2 linked regions of the Oryzias latipes genome follow. The protein of the gene in region 1 interacts with the protein of each later gene in a biochemical or structural test. Links are inferred from orthologs where the notes say so. Each region holds a gene or a part of one and is shown on either strand. Other genes may lie near its edges. The genes, in order: lbr and cbx5.

What was found.
Region 2: the proteins of lbr (region 1) and cbx5 form a complex in vitro, tested with the Homo sapiens proteins (2 studies listed by BioGRID, with this or other methods). The link is inferred for Oryzias latipes from reciprocal best matches to the Homo sapiens genes LBR and CBX5.

The regions. Positions count from the first base shown.
Region 1 is NC_019882.2:330,064-340,807, reverse strand, and holds the start of lbr (lamin-B receptor), read left to right. Parts: upstream 1-139; 5' UTR 140-601; intron 602-2,134; 5' UTR 2,135-2,135; coding exon 2,136-2,300; intron 2,301-2,374; coding exon 2,375-2,563; intron 2,564-3,737; coding exon 3,738-3,803; intron 3,804-4,056; coding exon 4,057-4,246; intron 4,247-4,433; coding exon 4,434-4,630; intron 4,631-7,470; coding exon 7,471-7,525; intron 7,526-7,767; coding exon 7,768-7,962; intron 7,963-10,744. UniProt on the Homo sapiens protein: Catalyzes the reduction of the C14-unsaturated bond of lanosterol, as part of the metabolic pathway leading to cholesterol biosynthesis.
Region 2 is NC_019865.2:12,831,811-12,842,993, reverse strand, and holds cbx5 (chromobox protein homolog 5), read left to right. Parts: upstream 1-4,749; 5' UTR 4,750-5,311; intron 5,312-5,793; 5' UTR 5,794-5,847; coding exon 5,848-5,978; intron 5,979-6,200; coding exon 6,201-6,438; intron 6,439-8,213; coding exon 8,214-8,314; intron 8,315-9,053; coding exon 9,054-9,195; 3' UTR 9,196-10,963; downstream 10,964-11,183. Other genes in the region: nfe2 (transcription factor NF-E2 45 kDa subunit), read left to right, coding at 1-1,008; heterogeneous nuclear ribonucleoprotein A1, read right to left, coding at 2,423-2,481, 2,568-2,687, 2,772-2,891, 2,971-3,024, 3,111-3,260, 3,344-3,554, 3,622-3,768, 3,839-3,955 and 1 more. UniProt on the Homo sapiens protein: Component of heterochromatin that recognizes and binds histone H3 tails methylated at 'Lys-9' (H3K9me), leading to epigenetic repression. In contrast, it is excluded from chromatin when 'Tyr-41' of histone H3 is phosphorylated (H3Y41ph).

The sequences.
Region 1 (10,744 bases):
ACATATTTACTTCTACTGCTTATACAGATTAACTTTATTTATTTTTTCATATCTCAGTTTTAAAATATTTATTTTGTGAATATTTATGTTGAAAAGATAAGTGTAATTATTTAGAAACTAATTTTATGTAGGTGTGAAGTCCTTTCCTATTTTTTGTGTTCATTTAATATTTTTCAGTGACGTCCTTCTTTCTGAATCCATCCGACCTCTTCGTCCTATTTTAGCTCGCGGACGGGATGCGGGGGGAGGGAGGTGATGAGGTTAACACTTTTTCGCTTAAACCCTTTTGACTGACGGTAAATTGACACCAGTAAACAAGGCGCTTGCTGCTCCTAAACAACCAATCACTGTATGATGACGTTTTGCCATCAACCAATGAGAGCAAAGATCCGTTAAAATTGAATGCTCGGCCGCCCAATCGGAGGGCTTCGCGCCTTCTTGTCAGTAGTGGGTTTTACCCAGAGAGGGAGGGAGATCGAGCTCTACGTCAAATCTTTGAAACTGTTCTTTTAACACATTCAAAGCCAGTTTATTTTTATTTTGTAATCCTCCGCGGGATTTGTTTTGAATTTAACTTTTTGGAATTAATCCAGGAAAACAGGTGAGAACATGTTCCCGCCGCTGAACCGCTACACCGGCTTCGTTGTTGGCAAATCAAGGCTTAGCCGAAGCTAGCTTATCAACAGCGCTGTGGCATGCGTCTAGTTCCTGAAAACATAGATGGTTTCAAGTTGAGATCAAAGTAAAATAGGGATGTGGGTTCGCTTCCCAGACGTTAGGTTACCGCGTTTATTCATCCTGGATGTTTCCGGAGAGTTGTAGACACTTTAATCTGAACCGTAAACAGCCTGATCTGCTTTCATATGTGCAACTGAAGGCGAGCCAGAGTTTAGACGGCGCCTGTAACTGAAATATCCAGAAATGTAGAACATGGAGGGTTCTACTGTCCAGAAACAGGTTTATTCGTTGTTTTCACGCGTTCTCTGAAGGGTTGACGTCTCGGTGGTGTCGTGCGCGCGCGTGTAGTTTGTTCGGCGGCCGGTTTGGTTTGTTGTCGGTTTGAACGCATGACGTTTTCCCTCCTTTCCGTCCTGCTGCATCAGGACGGATGAAGGTTCAGTTAAAGAAACACGCAGAGCTTTTGGCGCTCACGATCTGCAACCTGCTGTCAGAAACCTCACAATCCAAATGGACCAAATGAACCTGTTGACTCGTTCAAATGTGAAATCCTTGTAGCGCCTTGTTGTTGGTTTGAACTGTTGGGATGTAATTTAATTACACGCACATTTTTTGGCTTATGGATTGCAGTAAAAAATATGTCTTTAAGGGTTGAGGTCGGCTGATCTCCCGTAGCACCTCAGATTTTCCGTGAACCGGCGCCGTTAAGCGTGCGGGGTCCGGTGTGACAGACAGAGCGCGCGCTCTCTTTGGGTGTGTCCGTTGCATCTCGAGGAGCTACCGGTGACTTAGAACCGGATCTTTGTTTTGAATGGTCCGTTTTTGGTGTCTTTCAGTGTAAAGCTTTTATTCTGAAATGCGGAGGTTTAGCGTAGAACTTTATTTTGAAGGTCGGTTGAGTCGACATGGGATTGTGGAAGGTAAATGTTTTGCACCGTGTGTGTTTTCTGTTTCAGAATTGTCACTGTCCCCCTTTGTGTGACGCGGGACAGACCCGTCAGCAGTTTTTTTTTTGTTGCTTTTTTTGGGGGGGGGGGGGGGGGGGGGGGGGGGGGGGGATAATGCTGAAACAGCTGTGCCCCCCCCCCCCCATTGTTTTTTGGACGTTCCCCTTTAGTTTGGACTTCTAAAGCTGGAGGTAGCTTAGACAGGAACTCTCTGGACATTTGCTTGTGGTGGTTTTGGGAATGAGGTGAATCAGACAGACGTCTCAGGCAGCGTCTGAGGATGTTTCTGTTTATCATAAACTAGCAGCTTCTTTTACGGATTCCATCTGTTTTTGCTCCTGAAGCTCAGCAGGAACCTTAAGCTGCTCAGCCTGAACCTTTTTAAATGTCCAGCTTCCAAACGCGTTCCAGTCCCCACGTGGTGTTTCTGCAGTGTCTGGTCCATGTGGCTGCAGTCTCCTGTCAGGCCTCTTTCCTCTGCTTCCCCTCACGCCCCTCACTCTTGTTAGGATGCCCACTGCCAGGTTCCAGGAAGGGGACAAAGTGATGGGCCGCTGGCCCGGTAGCTCGCTGTACTACGAGGTTCAAGTGCTGAGCTTTGACGCCGCCAGCCGGCTGTACACTGTCATCTACAAGGACAAGACGGAGCTGGAGCTCAAGGAGCAGGACGTCATGGTGGGAGTTTGTGCTCAGCATGTTTATGGGAATTTTTCAGTCATCTCCTCACCTGACGCCCTTGTTTCTTTTAGAATATCTCGTCTTTCCAGAACCGCACTCGCTCCCGTTCTCGGTCGCCGGGACGCCGTCGCAGCCGCTCGCGCTCTCCTGCGAGGACCACTCGCCGTTCATCCTCTCGTTCAGCGGTAGCAGAGAAGCCCCCCCCCTCTGACAGGGATGCAAAGGTGAAAGACGGCATGGAGGGCAGCCTCAGCCCGCCGGTAAGTTCTCTGGTCGGGGACTTTGGGTTTGAAAGCTAAAGATGGTGAGAGAGAAAAAACGGAGAATCTGATTTTATTGTTTCTTTTCTCTCATGTGGGACCCAAACCCGTTTTGTGGTCAGATTGTTTTTCTGAGATTCAGCTGTTCCTTCTGCAGCTCGGGGCAGAAACCAGAAATACAGAGGTCAGATGGTCTGAAACGTGCGCCCCCCCCCCCAACCATACACCTGTGTCGCTCTATTCCATTGTAACAAACATTTTAGCTAGGATTGAATTCTGAAGGAAGTTTTATTTTGAAACTCTCAGGTTCTGTCCTCCATGTCTGTAACTATCCTCATGCGTGTGGAGACGTTTTCCGTCGTCGCGTGTTTAGTTCTTTTCCATGACTTTAAAGCGGAAACCCTTAACAGAAACCTCTAAGCTATCAAAGCCAACCAAACACAAATGTGAAAAAACGGACGACAATGAAAAGAAACCAGTTTAATTCCACGTTCCAAACCTGTTCTGCCTAGCATACGACAACGTATCCAGCGTTACAAGGACGTGCTAATAAAGTTGCCAACACAGAGGATTACTGCAATTATATTTAAGAAGTATCTTTCTTTCTACTGTATTTATCTGCCAAACCTTAAAAGTCAGTTTGTAAAAATACTGTCCAATAGGCCTGCACAATACCGCAAATTTATCGTTATCGCAACATCAAGCTGTGCAATATGCATACCGCAAAAGACGGCGAAAATCGCAATAAATGGTTAGCTTAAATGTGCTAAAACAAACTCACGGCAGCTTGAAGTATTTAATGAATCAAATAAATCCATTTATGCGTTTAACCAATCGGAAGGACCCGTTAACGTTGTTGATCAATCAGATGAGCCCTTTTATGTTTGATGTTTGCCTCCTATGTCGACAAGGGTCATTTGGAGTATAACTTTTAAACTGTTGCAGTGAAATGGAAATGATGTTTTTGGTTGTTTTGCTATTTGTTTATATACCGCAAATTATATCGTTATCGCAATATTAATCACTAATATCGCATATCGCGAGTTTTCCTCATATCGTGCAGCCCTAGTGTCTAACAATCCGGATGTTCACCTATCTTGGTTCCACAGCCTCTCCTGTTGCAGAACCGTCCTCCAATGTTTTCCCAACATTTAACCTCTGCTTTGCTTTACAGCAGCTAAACAAAGGAGACCAGAACAGCAACAAGACACAGGACAAAGACAACAACGCCGACAGCAAGGTAAGGCATCCGCATGGAACCGGGCGTCTGTACGGAATAAATTTAAAGAACCTTTTGAAGAAGCAGCAGGGATCACCGTAGAACAGTGGAACTCTGACAGGAACAGCAAAGAATACATAGAACGTAAACATTTTCCTTCTATAACCCCCCACACACAGTACCTGGCTGTGGTCATGTGATTCAGACCCGAGCAGCTGTTTGATGGCACAGAAGGGTCAAAGGTCGTCCTGTTTTCGCCCCACGTGTCCTGCAGCGTCCTGTTTCTCTGTCCTTGCTTCAGAGGGCAGAGGCGGAGCCTGACAGGAGCCAAAGCCGTTATAACCTGCGCCGCAGGAGGGAGGACGCAGCCCCCGAGGCCAGACTTCAACAGCCGCAGGAGAAAAGGTCTGAGGAGGGTCCTGCAGCTCCGGTTCCCGTCCCGCCGGACTACCGAGGAAAGATGGGTGAGGGACCTTCTGGGTAGCGCTCTGTGAGGGGAAACGGATGAACTTTGTGTCACATGACTCCTGGTTTCAGATGTGCACATCAACCAGCCTCCATGGGGGGGGTTAAAACTCAACTTTCAGCTGTAAAGAAAGTCACGTCTTCATGGGGGGGGTGGACCTGACTTGGCTGTCCTCCCTCATCCAGGTTCCGTGTTCTGGCTGCTGTTCCTGCCTGTTTGGGTTCTGTTTGTCCTCCTTCAAGCTGGACTGAAGGACCCCAGCCTGACTAACTTCCCCCCGCCTCTGCCCCCCCTGGAGAGCTTGTGGGACCCGCAGGCTGTGGGCTTGGTCTTCCTGTGGATCTTGTTCCAGGCTCTGCTCTACGTTTTACCTGTTGGAAAGGTGAGCAGTGGTTCCAGTATCCGTGTCAGGACGTTTGTCCAGCGGCTTCCAGACACGATCAGGCCGAGTGGAGCCGATGTTCTGAAGAATCTGCAGGAACAAATGTTTGACTTTTCTGAGGTGGTTCTGAGTCCCGCAGACACGGAGCTGCACAGATCCTGACTCTGCACCCAAACATCTGGTTGTCATAGTAACAGACATCTAGTCTTCTTTTCAATTCAATTCTACTTTATGAATCCCACAAGGGGAGGTGAAGTTCCAGTTAGGGTTGTGCCGATGGACGATATCATCGTCCATCGTGATGGATGACTGACATCCCGATGGAGAGACCACCATCGTGATGCCACGCCCCCGCCACGTTGCGTGTCGACATCATAAGCCGCGGTTACATGTACAAAATATCTTGATGGGATCAATGGTCGGATTAGAATCCAACCGTGTACATGGGCCCAGAAAAATGTTTTCAGAATATAACAAACGTTCACTAAGGTCACAATTTCGGTCGGAATAAATCATTCGCACATGCGCAGTTTGAAAACCGGAAGGGGATACAACTTCCGCCGAGCGGCTTTTTTTCCAAACTTTATTGTATGTAACAATTCAATACAAAACGATAACAGCACCGAGCGGTTATATACATCGACATGTCAGCTCGGTAAAATACGAGACGATCTTCTAAACGTGCTTTTAATAATGTTACGGTTATTATGAAACACCTGTTCGCTCATCATTTGAATTTTAATCCGTGTGGTCAGAGCTTATTCTGAACGGAGCCAGGATTAGCAGTATGCTAACACGGGCTAACAACATTAGCTTTGGGTGGTGCTGCTTGCTGGCTGCACGTAAACATGTAAGAATAACATCAGCCTTTATTTAGTCGGGACACGACTGGAAACACAAATCGGCGTGATTGTTTGAATGTTTTCTAAGGACTGAGCGACATTTCTGCTTTGATGCTCAAACCGCTGTGTGTCTGCTGACGATCCGAGCTGTGCTCAGACACACTTTTAGACCCGGTTCTGAGTTCGGTTGCTTGTACCCCTAGAGCTGCGGGACGGATCGCAGTCTTAAATCTCCCACACTCCATATATTTTGGGACTGTGTGATTATCAAGAAGTATTGGTCTGACATACATGAACATCTGCAAAATGTGTTTTCTATTGTTTTCCCCTTGTCTTTTGAAAGTCTGTTTTTGAGTAAAATTGATGGCCTAGACAACAAAAATAAGAAACTACTCTACATTCTCATGACAGCCAGTAAGAAAGCAATAACCAGAAAATGGCTTAAACCTGAACAACCAACGACAGAGGACTGGATTGATGTGGTACAAAGAATTTACATAATGGAAAGAATCTCACACTCTTTACAAATACGGCTGGATGCTTTTTACGCTACTTCAATTCAATTCAATTCAATTTATTTGTATAGCCCAAAATCACAACAACAGTCGTCTCGATGGGCTTCGAAGTAAAACATGAAATCAAAAGGATCACGAATACAAAGAGTTCAATAGAAAAATACTCAAATGAACTAACAAACTGACTAAGCTATACTGGCATCCCTGCCCTTAGACCCCCTACTTGGTCTATATGGACAGAATATAAGTCGGTAAGATCAGATTTCATCTGAAATCATGTCATATCATTTATGTTTTGAAACTCCCTGCTTCCTCACATGTTCCTTTTTTATTTATTATTATTTTGTTTTTTTTGTTTTTCAATTAAAAAACTGAGAAAGCATGAACATTGTGACACGTCAAAACAATGTACAATTTATCCTGTGCTTTTTCAATAAAAAATAAATTTGAAAAAAAAAAAAATCTCCCACACATACCGCTCATGTACCCCCCCCCCCCCCCCCTTCCCATCAAACACAAAGCTTTAAGTCTGCGCTCCGCCGGTCCACTTCACTAATTAAGTGCGGGAGCGACTACACTAATTTTCTATCTTGCTTGTTACTTTTTCTGTTAAAGTCACTTCCCTCAGTTTATACTGGATCATCGCGGATTAGTCATTAGTTGGGAAATAAAATGAAAAAAGCAAAATAACGAATAGCAGTTATATAAGAACGAAAAATGTAAAAATACCCCCCCCCCCCCCCCCCCCCCCACGATGTCATCGTCCATCCCGATGGTTGACAGCAAACATCGTCAACGGCCAAATTAGGGGACATCGCCCAACCCTAGTTCCAGTCCATCTCCAACATTTCCAGAAGTTGACTGAGGTCTTGCAGCTGGACGCAGGCCATATGCCTGAGCCCAGCGCAACCTGCAACGCTACCAAAAAAAGGGTAGCAGCTGTTTTTGTTTTTTGTTTTCATCTTGACGTTCATTCAACCAGGAAGTTTATTTTTCTATATCCACATGATTTCCTCTGTGGTGTCAGCAGTTGAAGAAATTCTGGGATGTCCTTTAGAGTTTGTAGATCAGCTGATGTTGGTGTGAAAACGGAATGACAACAGTGAAAGAACTGCACGCTTTACTGGAGGCTTTTCAGACAGAACCGCTTCAGTGCCTCATTTTCCTCACATTTGGATCATTAGACAGAATCTTTAGAACTTTTTCTAACTTTGTCCAGGGCATTCAGGCCAATCCTGATGTGATGTTTGTTTCTGTGTCCGCTTGAGTTCCTCATCAAAGTTCTTGAGTTTTTTGGTTTCCCCCGATCTGGCCCCAGGCCCCACCCCACCCTCCCACGACTTCCTGTTTTACCTCGTCTCACCTGACTCGGGGTGTTGCCTCGGTTCTCTGGTTCCGTGAGTGGTTGATGGGTTCGAATCGGTTTGGGACCATAGAGGATGTGAAACTTTACCAGCGTTTTCTCCGGTTTGTGTCTCTGCAGCTGAGTGAAGGCGTGCCGCTGCGGTCCGGACAGAGGCTGAAGTACAGAACCAACGGTACGTCTGACGGCAGCGACTGCAGTTTATGGGGCGGGGCCAGCTGTCATGAACGTTTTCAGACGGACAACGATGGCAGAGGTCCAGACGGGGTGGTTTGTCGGTTCTGTATCAGAACCTCCTGGCGCATCAGAACCTCCTGGCGCATCAGAACCTCCTGGCGCATCAGAACCTCCTGGTGCATCAGAACCTCCATGTATGGTCCCGTCTCCCTGAGCAGTGAATGATTCTGTGTCCTGCAGGCTTCTTCGCCACCGCCGCCTCAGCTGCAGCGGTGGCGGCAGCAGTGTACCTGGGCGCTGACCTCACCTACATCCACAGCCACTTTCTGCAGCTGGCCGCCGCCTCCTTCCTGTTGTCCGTGCTGCTGGGCCTCTTCCTGTACGTGCGTTCTGGCCATGCTGCCCCTGAGGAGCTGGCGGTGGGGGGAAACTCAGGTGAGTGAGCTTTGGCTCGGTGAGAAGATGATGATCTGGACGTGGGGGTTAGGGGTCAAGGCCCTCGCCGAACACTCGGTGCTGAGGAAATCTGATGGTACGATGGGTTGGAGTTCGTGAAGATTGATTTGTTTGACCGTCTGCATACTGCAGTGATGAAAGTCTTCCGGGAATTCCCGGAAATCCGGGTTTTTGAGCAAACCGAACGTACTTTCCGGGAAATAAAGACCTGATCTCTACGGACAAATCGCTTTCCGGATTAGAAAATGGTCTGAAATCAGCTAATTTTAGCTTTATTTTCTATATTTCTCCGCAGATCGCTTCCTCTATGGTCGTGGCCATCTTTCGTCTTCCCGGCCTAATTGACCAATGACGGGACGTTTTAGTTGCTTTCGGATGCGTCGACGGGTCTGATTGGCTCTGTCTGCACCACGTGGTCAGCGTGACTTGCTTCCCTAGAGACCAAAACTGGCGGACCCACGCTAAACTTTCACAAACACATCTGAAGAGTTTGCGATCAAATTTGTGTTAAAATAATGGCAGGCATCGTCATTATTGAGCGTGGTCACGACCTCAGTTGTGAGAAGACGATAAAAAACAAATTGAAGTGGTCTTGGCTGGAAAAAAAAGATTTTTAAGGTAGTGTAGGTCAAATACTTTTTTGTGTAAAATAATCTCAAAACCACATTTTGAAATAATTTCAATTTTAGTTTTGAGTTTCAGTTTTTATTTTGAATACATTTCTCTATCTAATTTATTTGTATTTCCTAATTACCATGATTTAGTTCAGTATAGTTAACATTAATTATAAGTATTTGATGGTTTGGACCCGCACTCCCTTAAAAAATAATGTTTACAATGTTTAGTTTAGTTTGTATGTTTGTTTTGATATTTCCCAGATTACTTAGTATTGGTGTTAAAGAATTGATGTATTATGTTATAGAATTATAGTTTAAAGCAGATCCCATATTTTGATGTAATTATAGTTTGAGAAAACAGTGCAAGTGGATGTTGTACATCAGTCATTTCTAAAGCAGAAATAATGTATAAATAACTGAGGTATTTTCATAGAATATCATAGTTACTGGTGTTCTTTTTGCCATTTGGGGCTTTGATGTTACTATATTTTAGCAATTGTATGTTTTGCAGCTTTAAGGAAAAGCGTAGATTGTAGGATTGTGTTACTTTGAGCAATTTTCCAAATTCTTTTTTAGGACCAGCAAGTCCTTAATGGAGAGTCAAACTAGGGGTTTGAATGACAAATCATGATGCTCCAATTAGTCTTAGTTTCTTGATAAAGAAGTGAATAACTAGCTGCCAGAATGCACCAGAATGCATCTAAGACCACGTATTTTTCCAAAATTTCGCTCTGTGCCCGCCATATCGCTCAAAGAAAAGTTCAGGGATTTTTTCCTTGCCTGACTTTCATCACTGATACTGGAGTGCGTGCAGAAACAGAAGCACGTGATCTGGACGCTGGATAGTCACTGCGGTCCGCTCTCATGTCAATAGAGACTGTAGGTGATGACGGCGTCTGCAAAGGCTGAATCTGTCCCCGCAGAACGCCGTTCTCCATTACAGTTTCATACATGTACTCTCACGTGTCATCTGTCTGTTTACATACAGTGGTGGACAAATAGTTGGTCCCCCTCAGTTGAAGATAGAAAGTCCACAATGTTCACTGAAATGACGTGAAACATTCCAAAGTAACAATAAATTAAAATTTATTGAAAATTAAATAATCAAAATTAGCCATTACTTTTGAGTTGTTGATTAACAGAATTATTTAAAACAAACAAACAAATGAAATAGGGCTGGACAAAAACGATGGTACCCATAGCTTTATATTTTGTTGCACAACCTTTTAAGAGATGTGATGAGATAAGATAAAACTTGTCATTGTACAGTCACACTTGGTACAACAGTACAATGAAATTGCAAACGGTCCCACATAGGTGCAAAGAAAGAGAAGAAAACAACATAAAAAAATTGCAACAATTATCTTACATACAAATAAAACTATCTATCATGTAACTGATCATTTTCTTGTATCATTTAACATCTCCATCACTTTATCTGTCACTAAACCCTCCCGCCTCATCTCTTTTCATAATGTCAAAAACATCAATGTGAACGCACTTTCCTCACTCATACGTGATATTCCAATCCCTAACACACCAAACCCTGATGAACTCGTCTCCTCTTACAACAACCTTCTTTCTGATTCTCTTAACCAGCTCGCCCTGTCTCCTTCTCCAAATCTGCCCCCTGGTTCACCCCAGAGCTCCGTCACATGAAAGCCAAAGGTCGCCAGCTAGAGCGACTCTATAAAAGAACTGGCTTAACTGTTCACAAAGAAATCTATAAATCACATCTCACACAGTATAAGGACCTGGTTTCTACCACAAAAACAAACTATTTTTCTGAACTCGTCTCCACAAACAAAGGCAACTCAAAAACTCTCTTTTCCCTGATGAACACTATCTTCAACCCCCCTGACTCTCTCCCTCCCCATTTCTTTTCCACTGAAACCTGTAACTCCCTCATGTCATTTTTTGACCAGAAAATTCATGTCATCCACCAACAGCTTAGCTCTTCTCTCTTCCCTCCCATCCCTGACTCTTTTCCCCTCAATCATATGTTTTCCTCCTTTCAACTGCCTGCCTGACCACGAGGACATTTCCTCTGTCATCCTTAAATCCAAACCGACCACCTGTTCTCTTGATCCCCTCCCAACATCTTTAGTTATAGCCTGCCTCCCATCTCTCCTTCCGCTCATTAC
Region 2 (11,183 bases), on another chromosome or scaffold:
ATGATCTCCATGCCCGCTCAAACTCTGCCGTCTCCTGGAAACATGTTGGGGACAAGTCATGGACACAGGAGAACTAATGCCCGTCTTTCTCCGGGTTCAAGTCGACACATGCTTTGGACAGCACATGGCCAAAACATGCATGGCCGCATGGCTGATGGTCTGGAGTCAGAGGCTGGTCTTTCTTTGGGATCAAGTCCACCTTTGACATCTCCACTAAATCCAGTGGGTGCTGCACAAGGTTACCATAATGTAGAAATAAATGTGCCTTACAGTGATGTTAACTCAGGCAACATTAATGATCATACCAGGAGAGCACATATCAGTTATTCAATGGACTACCAAGGTCCAAATCACTCATATTTTGACTCAGGTGTAAATCCGTATTTTTCTTCTCAAAATTCCTCTCACTCCCAGCCATGTGCCACAACTCATTCAGCGAGACAGCAGCACAACACAGTTGCTTCATGTGAACGGTATAATGAATTAACCAGCAGGGGGAGCTCTCAGCATAAGTACTCAAAGCCACACACGGGCCTTTCCAGTTCTGCTCCACTTAGCAGGGATGAGCGGAGGGCCATGGCTTTGAAAATTCCCTTCCCTTTGGATAAAATTATCAATCTACAAGTGGATGATTTCAACGAGCTGCTGACTCAGTATACTCTGACCGACACTCAACTTGCACTGGTCAGAGACATCAGACGGAGGGGAAAGAACAAGGTGGCAGCTCAGAACTGCAGGAAGAGGAAGCTGGAGAGCATCATTCATCTGGAAAGAGAACTGAACCAGCTGCAGGTGCAAAGAGAACACCTCACACAGGAAAGGCTAGAGTTCCAGCGCAGCCTGGGCTTTGTCAAGTGCCGTCTGAGAGACCTTTATGCAGAAGTGTTTTCTCACTTGCGAGACGAAGATGGACAACCTTACTCAATAGATGAGTATTCTCTCCAGCAAACACCCGATGGGAAAATTTATTTGGTACCTCATACGATGGAAGCAAGAGATCAGTGCTGAATATAAGGACTCGTCTGTGCTTTGGAAGTGTTTTTACTTTTCGTGCCAATCTCAGTTTGTGGTTAAACTAAGTTTACGGTGACACACAAGACCAATGTTTATAATAAAAAACACACAAAGTGTTGATAAAATATTTTATTTAAAAAAAGAATAAAAAAGTAAAAATCAAACTGCACAGCAGTTTTAAGCACTGTAAAAAAAAATTTAAAAAGAATACTTCAGCGTTAGCACGACAGTTCAGCTAACCTGTGGAAGAAAATAATCTTTGTTCAATAAATATTGCCACAAACCAACCAGCAGATTCACTTTCTTGTACCTGGGCCATTCTCACAGAAATGATGTTTTTGTAGTGCTGGATACCGCTGGAAATCACCTGAAATGCAAAACAAAATAAAAGTATAAGGCATTGCTCAAAGGTAACCTGTATTGACTGCATGCAAATTACAGTGGACCTCTTTGCACTGCAAGAGATCAATTTTTGATCAAGTGGTATTTTTTTTAGCCATGTCATTACTGGGCTACAAAACTCACTACCAGCTTAAAAGGCAAAAAGAGAAAACACCATCAGTAGTTGAAAGTCTGGTCTTACCTACAGACAGCATTTAAGCCTTTTGGTAGCTGCTGCCTGCTAGCCTCAGGCTTCTGCTCTCACTCTCCCCTGCTTCAATGATCCTGGCGATGGCTTTGCTACTTCTCTCCCTTAGCTTGCTTCCATGGCTAGCCTCATAGACTTTGCATGTAAGCTAGCCTCCTCGAGATGATCTTTGCAGAATTCGAAGTTGTCTGAGCCAAGTCACGGCCTTTTTGAAGATAACATTTGCGCACCACTGGGAAATTGCCTTTTCCAGAGCTTGACAAAAAGTGGCCCTTTTCCCCGTTTAAGTGTCAACCCTCCCTTCACCCAGACCACTAAAGAGGCTAACGAGACTTTATAAAAAACTGAAAGGTGGTTTATTTCAGATTGAGTTGATGCAGTTACAAATAAAAACCAGACTTAAAGATAAACATAAAACCCTCATTGGAATGCTTGCTTTCCAAAAAAAACACATATGATGAAAGAAAAACAGAAGACAAATTTTAAATGAAGGCCCTCCATGATTTATCTACTGTACATCTCTTCTTGTAGCAGCTGTAACCTGCCACAACTGTTTGGCTGAGCAGATTTAGGAGGTAAACCTGCAGCTGCCCTGTCACTTCGCTTGCTCTCCTCTCCTTGCTCTCCTCTCCTAAGTACTCAGTCCTGTTGAACAATATGGAACAACATTGTTAACTGTGCACTGTCTTCATAAGTCCTGACATCCAGAGTGAATTCGTTTAAAGTTAGCTACACTTAATCATTCCCTAAAATGATAAACTCTGGTTTTACGACATGTAACAGCAAGTTTATGTCTACAGAAGCTTACCCCTTAGAAACTTAAAATCGTCCAGGACGGCCATAGCCACCGCCATTGTTTGATCCACCGCCATATCCACCTGGAAGACAGAAAAACAATCAACACACAAGGTGAGGGTTAAAATACTTCTGTGTTGGTGTGTTTTCACCAAATCCAAATACCCACCGAAGTTTCTGCCTCCTCCTCCACCACCACCACCAAAGTTGTTCTTCATTGGACCAAAGTTGGAAGCCTGCGGGTCATAGTGACCCATGTTGTTGTAGTTATTGCCACTGCCACAGTTTCCTTGAAAATGGTAGATAAAAATGATTAGTGACAACCTCATCCTAAAAAAGGGGGGGGTGGAGGGACGGGGTTGTTGTTGCTCACCATAACCATTGCTATCATAACCATTTCCACCATATCCTCCACCACCTTGGTTGTAGCCCTGGTTGTACCCACGGTTGCCACTGTTATAGCCCCCAGGACCACCGGGCCCACCTCCATAACCTGCATCAAACAACCTTAAGTCTTCAGATGTTCGTAAATTAAAAATAAAAAAACAATTTATCTAGTATGCTGCACTTACCGCCATCGCCTCCGTTGCCGTTGTAAGGACCATCTCCATATCTGCCCCGTCCACCTTAAAATAAGAAGAAAACCCAAAACTTGTTATGGCTGTCTTACAGACCCAATGATTTAAAAAAAAAATACTACAACCCACATTACCTTGGTTAAAGCCTCTGTCGTAGTCATAGGGTCTTCCACTCCCACTGCTGCGGCCACCTCTCATTCCCATTCCAGCAGTCTGCATTTCCTGTTTGGTCAGGGCTTTCCTCACCTCACAGTTGTGGGAATTGATTGTGTGGTATTTCTGGACTATGAATAAAAAGGCATGTTTCAATTTTTATGAAAATCTTACAGGGCTTTCCCATTCTAGATCAGATACCACTAGTACTCACTGACAATCCTGTCAACAGAATCGTGATCGTCGAAGGTGACAAAGGCAAAGCCCCTCTTCTTTCCAGTGTTCCGATCAGTCATGATATCAATGACTTCAATTTTGCCAAACTGTTGGAAGTAATCCCTCAGGTGGGACTCTTCTGTGTCTTCTTTGATCCCTCCAACAAAGATCTTTTTCACTGTAATATGAGCGCCTGGACGATTTGAATCCTGCACACCAAAACATTTGTTATACTTTGAACAAGAAATCAGATTTACGTCTAGTCATATAATATACCTCTCTAGAAACTGCTCGTTTGGGTTCCACCACCCGTCCGTCAACCTTGTGTGGACGGGCGGACATGGCTGCATCAACTTCTTGGACAGAGGAGTAGGTCACAAAGCCAAAACCCCGGGATCTCTTGCTGTTTGGATCCCTCATCACCTAAAAATGAAATACTTTAAAGCCAATTCAATTTGGATGATAGCAATCACATCTTGTGAAAATGACTCACAACACAGTCTGTCAGGGTACCCCATTGCTCAAAGTGAGCTCTGAGGCTCTCGTCTGTTGTCTCAAAGCTCAGGCCTCCAATGAAGAGCTTGCGAAGCTGCTCTGGCTCACGTGGGACCTAAACAATAGATGAAGACGTCAACAAGAGGTTGCCGCAAGTTCAAACACTATGAGTTAAAAACACATTTTTGAAAACGAAAGTCCACTCATTGACTTTCGTCTCTATTTCCAGAACATATCCAGCGTCAAAAACAACAACAGCAGGAGGGTTGGGTGGTGCAGACATCGCCGCCATTAGCGATCAACGATTGCAGATTGTTCGACTTTTTGCAAAAATATGTTCGCCTAAGGTTGTTAATATTGCGGTTAATCGAAATAACGATAACCAGTGACTCATATTAATATCATTCGATTCATTTCGTTTACCTGTAACCAACAATAGGCCACGAGGCCCAGTTGTTACAAAATGGCGGCATAAGGAAAAGAAAGCTTCTGCAGCGAAGACGGGCTGTTTCGACCGAGACAACGTGCCCAAATCTAAACCATTGAAGCCATTTGACGAAACTGGACCAGCTAAATAATTTGAATCGTTCAGAATACAAAGACTTACATCTTTCGACATCTTGCTGTATTTTGTCGGAAACTCCTAGTGACACAACAACCACGCAGCGATCTGCGCCAGACAAGATCAGGCAGCAGTCAAACGCTAGGATAAAATGGGGAAAGGAACGCCCCCTTTTTACACAGTCATTGGTCAGTTGTTCCCGCTGTAGTATTTCCTCAGAGAAAGGTGAGTTTTGATTGGCTTACGTCCTATCAATCATTCAATTAATCCAATCCCCGAGCAGGATAATGCAGTGTGTAAAAACGGAGGAGGAATGGGAGAAAACAGGATGCTTTCGCAGACATAGTGACATTTTATCTGAATAAAAATGAAATGATAGATTGGGGCCAATAAACCGCATCAATTTGGATCACCATCATAACATTAAACTAGATTAGTTTTGAATGGTCGTACAGCTACTTTTTTTATCTAAACAAAATAAAAAGTATAAAGAAAGAATTACACAAATTTTAAAGGACACAACACACACTTTTGTTATTACATTTTTAGCTATTTAATTAATAGTTTGGAGCTTTGTTTATATGTAAGGCATTATGTTTCTTTGTCAGCGTACATTAAACGTCTAATAACAAAACATATAATTTTACACATTACTATTACAGTAAGTAAATACCATGGATTGAGACCCTTGCTGCTAACCTGCCTGGTTTCTTGGTTATCAGCTGACCGGGAGGCGGGTTCATTCATTGTGTGCTTTTAACGCGCGCTTTTTCCGCTCAGCACCTTTATGTGATTTAAGCTACATGCTAACGTAGCTCCGGTAGACTGGTAGACTGATAGCTGCTGCACAAAAGACGCAAGATAACGCTGCAAAAAACGCACTAAAACTGACGGCCCGATCATCCTAAAGTAATCGCACTGTTAATTTATCGATATTGTGTTTTTACTTTAAATAACGATTCGTGATTTGAACTGTAAAAGTGGCAAGTTAGCTTGGGGTTCGCTTACATGCTATCTTGTCTAGCTTCTAGTACCGTTAGCAGAGCTCAGTTCGTCGTGCCCCATGCTTGTTTTGTTTTCTTACCTGTTGTAATCTTAGGGCTATCTTCGTTAAAAGAACAAGTGTTATGTGAAATACTTGCAGATGTGATTTTTATTCGTATAATAATTTAGTTGCTGTTATGCTCGAGTGTGTTATGCACGACAATTTCTGTGTTAGCGTCGATCAAATGCTAACGCGTATATTATCATATCTTCTTTTCTGATTCAAAGTATATCCTTTTTTTAATTATCTATTTACGTCTGATCTGTGCGTATTAACGCATCTGGAAATACTGTGCCAAGATGATCGGTTGTTATTTAAACTTTGGCTTCTCTTCTTTTGGATCAAGGAAGTGCTAACGGCCTGTGTGTGTGACAGCGTGCTATAAATACCAAACTTTGCAATGGGCAAGAAGTCTCGCGAAGAGAAATCCTCATCGTCTGACGAAGAAGAATATGTCGTGGAAAAGGTGCTGGACAGGAGAGTCGTGAAAGGCAGAGTTGAATTCTTCCTAAAGTGGAAAGGATACTCAGAGTAAGTAAAAAACAAAAAACGCCAATCTGTTAGCAATTCTATTGTAATTGCAATAATACAATATTACTTAAACCGCATAAAGACGTGCAATGTAATGTTAAGGGTTATGTAGCTGTGTGCACCGCGGTTTTAATGTTTTTATTTTGGGTGTGTTTTCTCTTTGTTTGTTACTATTGTGATTATGCAACTGTCTTGAGTTACTTGGATGGTTTTCCTTTACAGGAAGCACAACACCTGGGAGCCGGAGAAGAACTTGGATTGCCCTGAGCTTATTGCAGAATTCATGAAAACCTACAAAAAACCAGGCAGTGGGAGTGCCACACCTAGCACTGGTTCCAGCAAAGTCAACACAGGATCATCGGGTCGCTCCAAAGAATCCGGGAGCTTAAAGAAAAAAGGTTCAGATGATGAGGAGGAGGAAGACGAAGAGGGTGGAAGTAAACCTAAAAAGAAGAAAGAGGTGAGATTTATGTATATGCAATGTTTGGATTCACTGTTTTCTAGGCTGTCAAGATAAATGAGGAAAAATGAGTTTTTGTTGTTTTTCCCCTTTATAATAAAGTTTAGTTTGTTTGTTAGGATGTTACTGTACTTTATGCAAGGTTCTTAGAATTTATCTATTTTATTTTTTCCAGATCTACATTTAAATAACGAAATGTTAATAAGCAAGGGAGAGATATTTACAACAGTACATGTCAATTCTTTATCTTTCGTTTCCCTAGTTTCTTTTAGACCAGGGATGTCAAACTTGATGGCACAGGATGGGCAAAAATCCAAAACCCACTTTAGGTCGCTGACAATAACACTGTACTTTATAAACTTTTAAAACTTCTTTTCAACATAAATATGACAAATATATTTCTTTTAACAGTAAATGTTAAAAGAAAAAAAAACATTCAGTTTTCTTTACTATTGAATGACTTTATAAAAAACTTACATTTTGCTCATCTGTGAGACATCATCTGCGTGCTGTTTTATTAGTCTTCATCACTGAGAAGAGCTTCTCACACAGAAAGGTGCTACCAAACACGCACAAGGGTGAAACTGCTTTTCTGCAGGAATGGCGTTCATAACCTGTGCAGGTCCTGCAGTGTCGTACTTTGCCTTCAGTGTGCTTTCACTCTGCAGCTCACTCTGCTCCATCTGAATCTGTACAGGGGCAGTTTCAACATAGACGGCAAATGGTTTGTGAAGCAACTCAAAAATTCATTTTTGTTATTCATAATCACCAAAGGGCCGGTCGAACTTGATGCGCTCAGTTTATCAGCAAAGTACGGATTTGATGTTTTGCCTCATAGTGCTGTCTAAAGATTAAATTCCTTGAATACAGCCACATTAGCTCCACAAATGAGACGCATAAATTTATCAACAATGTCAGTAAACATATTCTGCCTCCCATCAGTTTGAAAAGCCCATTTCCAGGATTAACTTTTCACTTTTGCACCGACAGAGGGCCAGCTTCACTATCACTTGCAGCATCATAAACTAGACTTCATTGACGTGGGAAGTGTTCGGCAAGGCAGCTGAAGCGCTGCATTGTGGGATCTGTAGTTGAATTTTACCAGCGCTTCATATCGCCATGCCGTAATTACCAATAATATAAAACGATCATGCTAACCGAATATAATTGCATGCCGGGCTGCATGCGGCCCGTGGCCTTTAAGTTTGAAACACACGTTTTAGACATATAATTATTTATTTTTAGAAGATACAATTGTTGATATGTGCCAGTACACTTCACCATTGAGAAATCCACATGTCTTGATCTCGCATCCTGTTTTTGTGGCGTCCTGAAAATTACAAAAGGTCAATAAGTCAGGCGATCAACTAGTTGATGTGCATGTCAACATGCTCAATCTGTCTGTATGTGTTCAGTGCTTTACTTCTGTCATTTTGCACCTTGTACAAATAATCAGCCTTTTCAGCACAATTCTACATACAATCCAATAAAAGTAATATTTGGGGGGCTAAAAGAAACTAAAATCAATTAGACATGGATTAAAAAATTGTTTATAATACATAAACCAATAAGACATATTGAAAATGATTACCGCAAAAACAAGCAAAGTATTAATCTGTTTATACACAGAAGGAATTTCAATAAAATATCTGACGGCATTTGTCCAGTAGAGCAGTAAAGTGTAAATATGAGGTTAAAGCACAGAATCAAAAGACAAAAACAAACAGTTTTAAACATTTCCTCAGGTTTGAACTTTTTTTCTTTGTTTCTTACAGGAGGAAATTCTAGTAGCCCGTGGCTTTGAAAGAGGACTTGAGCCAGAGAAAATCATTGGAGCCACTGATTCATGCGGAGACTTAATGTTCCTCATGAAATGGTAAGTTTTGTTGTTGGGATGATGATGATTATGATGATCTGGTGTGAAATTGCTGCTCCGCTAGGTGCAATCACCACAGACTGTTTTACTGTTGACTGCAACATGGAAGGGAATGACTCTTAAAAAAAAAAGGCTTTTGACTGTGTCGGTTAACTGGGCAAATCACCCATTAGAAACTTCAGTAACCGGGCTGTCTGTCCATAGATGAACAGGAAGCCAAACCATAAAATTAATGTTATCTCTTATTACCTAGATGGATATACGCAGTGCACCATCACTCATGCCTGGTTCTGGACTCATATTTGAGTTGCAGACTTGATACTTTTACTTTGAATAAATTTACAAATCCATAAAAATAATCATGAATTTAGAATTGTTCTCATTTGCTATGATTTATAGAAAATTCTCTGTGATCAGTTTTAATCCTAGAGCGAAAGAACAAATAAAAACACCTGTGATGAAGTCTGACTATACCTTTGTTGCACCAGATGAAAAGTTTGTCTTGCCAACTTACCCATTTTATTTGGTTTTATGATAGAACACTTGATGCTGTCTCAATACATGGTTAAATTGCAGTGTAAATGAACCTCTTAGAAATATAACAGTGAAATGCCATTTCACAGAGACTAGGATAGAGTGCAACCGCCTACAGCTTGTTTATGAAATCCCACAATGCCTTATTTGGACTTAAGTTAGTGAAGTGTGGTGCAAAAATATTTCAAGCTTTACCCTCTTTTAGGAAAGATTCAGACGAGGCGGATCTTGTTCTTGCCAAGGAGGCCAATCATAAGTGTCCACAAATCGTCATAGCCTTCTACGAGGAGCGCCTCACCTGGCACGAAGACGGTGACAAGAAGGAGAAGGATGCTGTCAGTGCTTGAGTGCAACACCTCTGGAGGAAACCTCCACTGCAGGGAAAACATTCTGTTGGACTTTTTGTTTTCCTTCTCCCAAACTTCCATCCCTCACTTTGTCCAACAGTGAAACAAAAACAGTGCATCCCTTTTGTTGTTTTCTCCACTCATGCCTCATTGAGCACAAGGGCCCAGACTCTGTAAAGGATCCATCAAATAGAAAGCTGTTTGTTAGTGGACCTGGGTGATATGCTACTGGGCAATGTTTCTACTGTTTTTGTATTGATTTTTTTTTTTTTTGTAATATCTTAACATTTTTGTCTTTATCTTTTCCCTGTTTTTTAAAGTGCTTGCATAAAAATGTTACTAGGAAGAAATCTGGAGAAACTATTACTGGTGGCCATCTGTTAAAGTTGCAAATCCAGACCCAAGTACCAGATTTGACGGTTTAGGGGGGAATTCCCGATCCCCATCATTGTGTTGTAAACAGTGCACATCTTTTCTTTGACAGGAAAATGTTGAAGCTATTCACTTATCTTTCTTTTTTTACCCCTTTAGGCAGCAGATATCACACCTGATTCATTTTTAAACGTGTTTAATAATCGTTTTCCCCACTGTTTCTATTTTTTTTTTTTTTTTTAATATTTGTAACCGGTAATTTTTAACAGGGCCACTCTCACCAAACGCTCAAACATGTGCGATCATTTGATCATGACGTCTACTCTGCCATCAATTCTCTTTGTTGTAGTTTAATATTTTTGTTTCAGATTAAGGTAAGAAAAAAATCCTAAATATTTGTCCCAATGAGTAGATGTTGATCTGATGTTCAGGATTCCATTGATCATTCATCTTCCTGAAGCATTCATCTGTTTCATGTTTTGACATCCATCACCATAACATGCTTCAAAAGGGACATGATCACCTTCATGAAATTTAAATGTAAAAACTATGATAATTGTGAAAGCTGAATTAATGACATGGCAGCTGGATTGGCCTGCAGTTGAGAAGACTGGTGCACCTGTTTAGTCATGTAGGTGCACGTCTGTGTAGTGATGTATATTGGTTTTAATTTGTGCTGTTTCGTCAAATGATTGTTTTGCGGTTTTTTTCTTTCTGTTTTTTTTGACAGTGTTGCCAGAAGAAGAAAAAATACAATAAAGACATTTTTTTCTCCATTCTGTACTTTTAATCATATCCCAATCATTGTTTGAATGATTTTTTTTTTTTTTACTTTTAATTTGCATGAATTGTGTGATCTTGCGCCCTTTCAAAATAAAATTCAGCTAGCATTCAAAGGAGAAACTTAGCTGCCACTTTGATAACTGAAATTAATACTGTGGTCAACAATAAAGACTAGATTTATTTATTTGCATTTCTTTTTCCATGCTCCCCCTGCTAAAAAGCTTCAGTAGTTTTAATGAATTACAAAAAATATTGTTTGAATAGCTCCTTATCACCTGTTCATTAGTTTGAATTTTAAGGTGACTAACCCTGATAAATACATGGTTTGTTGTTGAAGATTGAAACTGGTTTTGCAGCCTGCAGAGAAGCATTGGACCAAATGTCTGCAGATTCACAGACTGCTTGTTTTTAACTGATAAGAAATGCTGTCATCTTCCTTTTGATACTACCCATACATTTCCTTGCCAGCACATTTTTTAATGTAAATATGGGTTTTATTTACCTTTTGACAATATACATTTTTTAAAGTCAGTAGTTTATTGTGTGAGAGAAATGTTCCAAGTATACATGTATAGTAGCATCCTTTAATAAACATTTTGAGTGTTTCAAGGTCTTCATGTGTTCACTTCGTTTTACAGTATAAATTACATTTTTCATAACATTACCCTGCAAACTGACAAAAATATATATATATACTTTATAGATTTAATGCAATTTTAGAATCACACATCAAAAACCTATTTACTGCCGTTTGTCAGCAGAGGGCAGTATTAACCAATTCCAACGCAAAAGTGTTTTTTTTTTTCTTCAGGTTCCAGTAGAATCATTGTGTG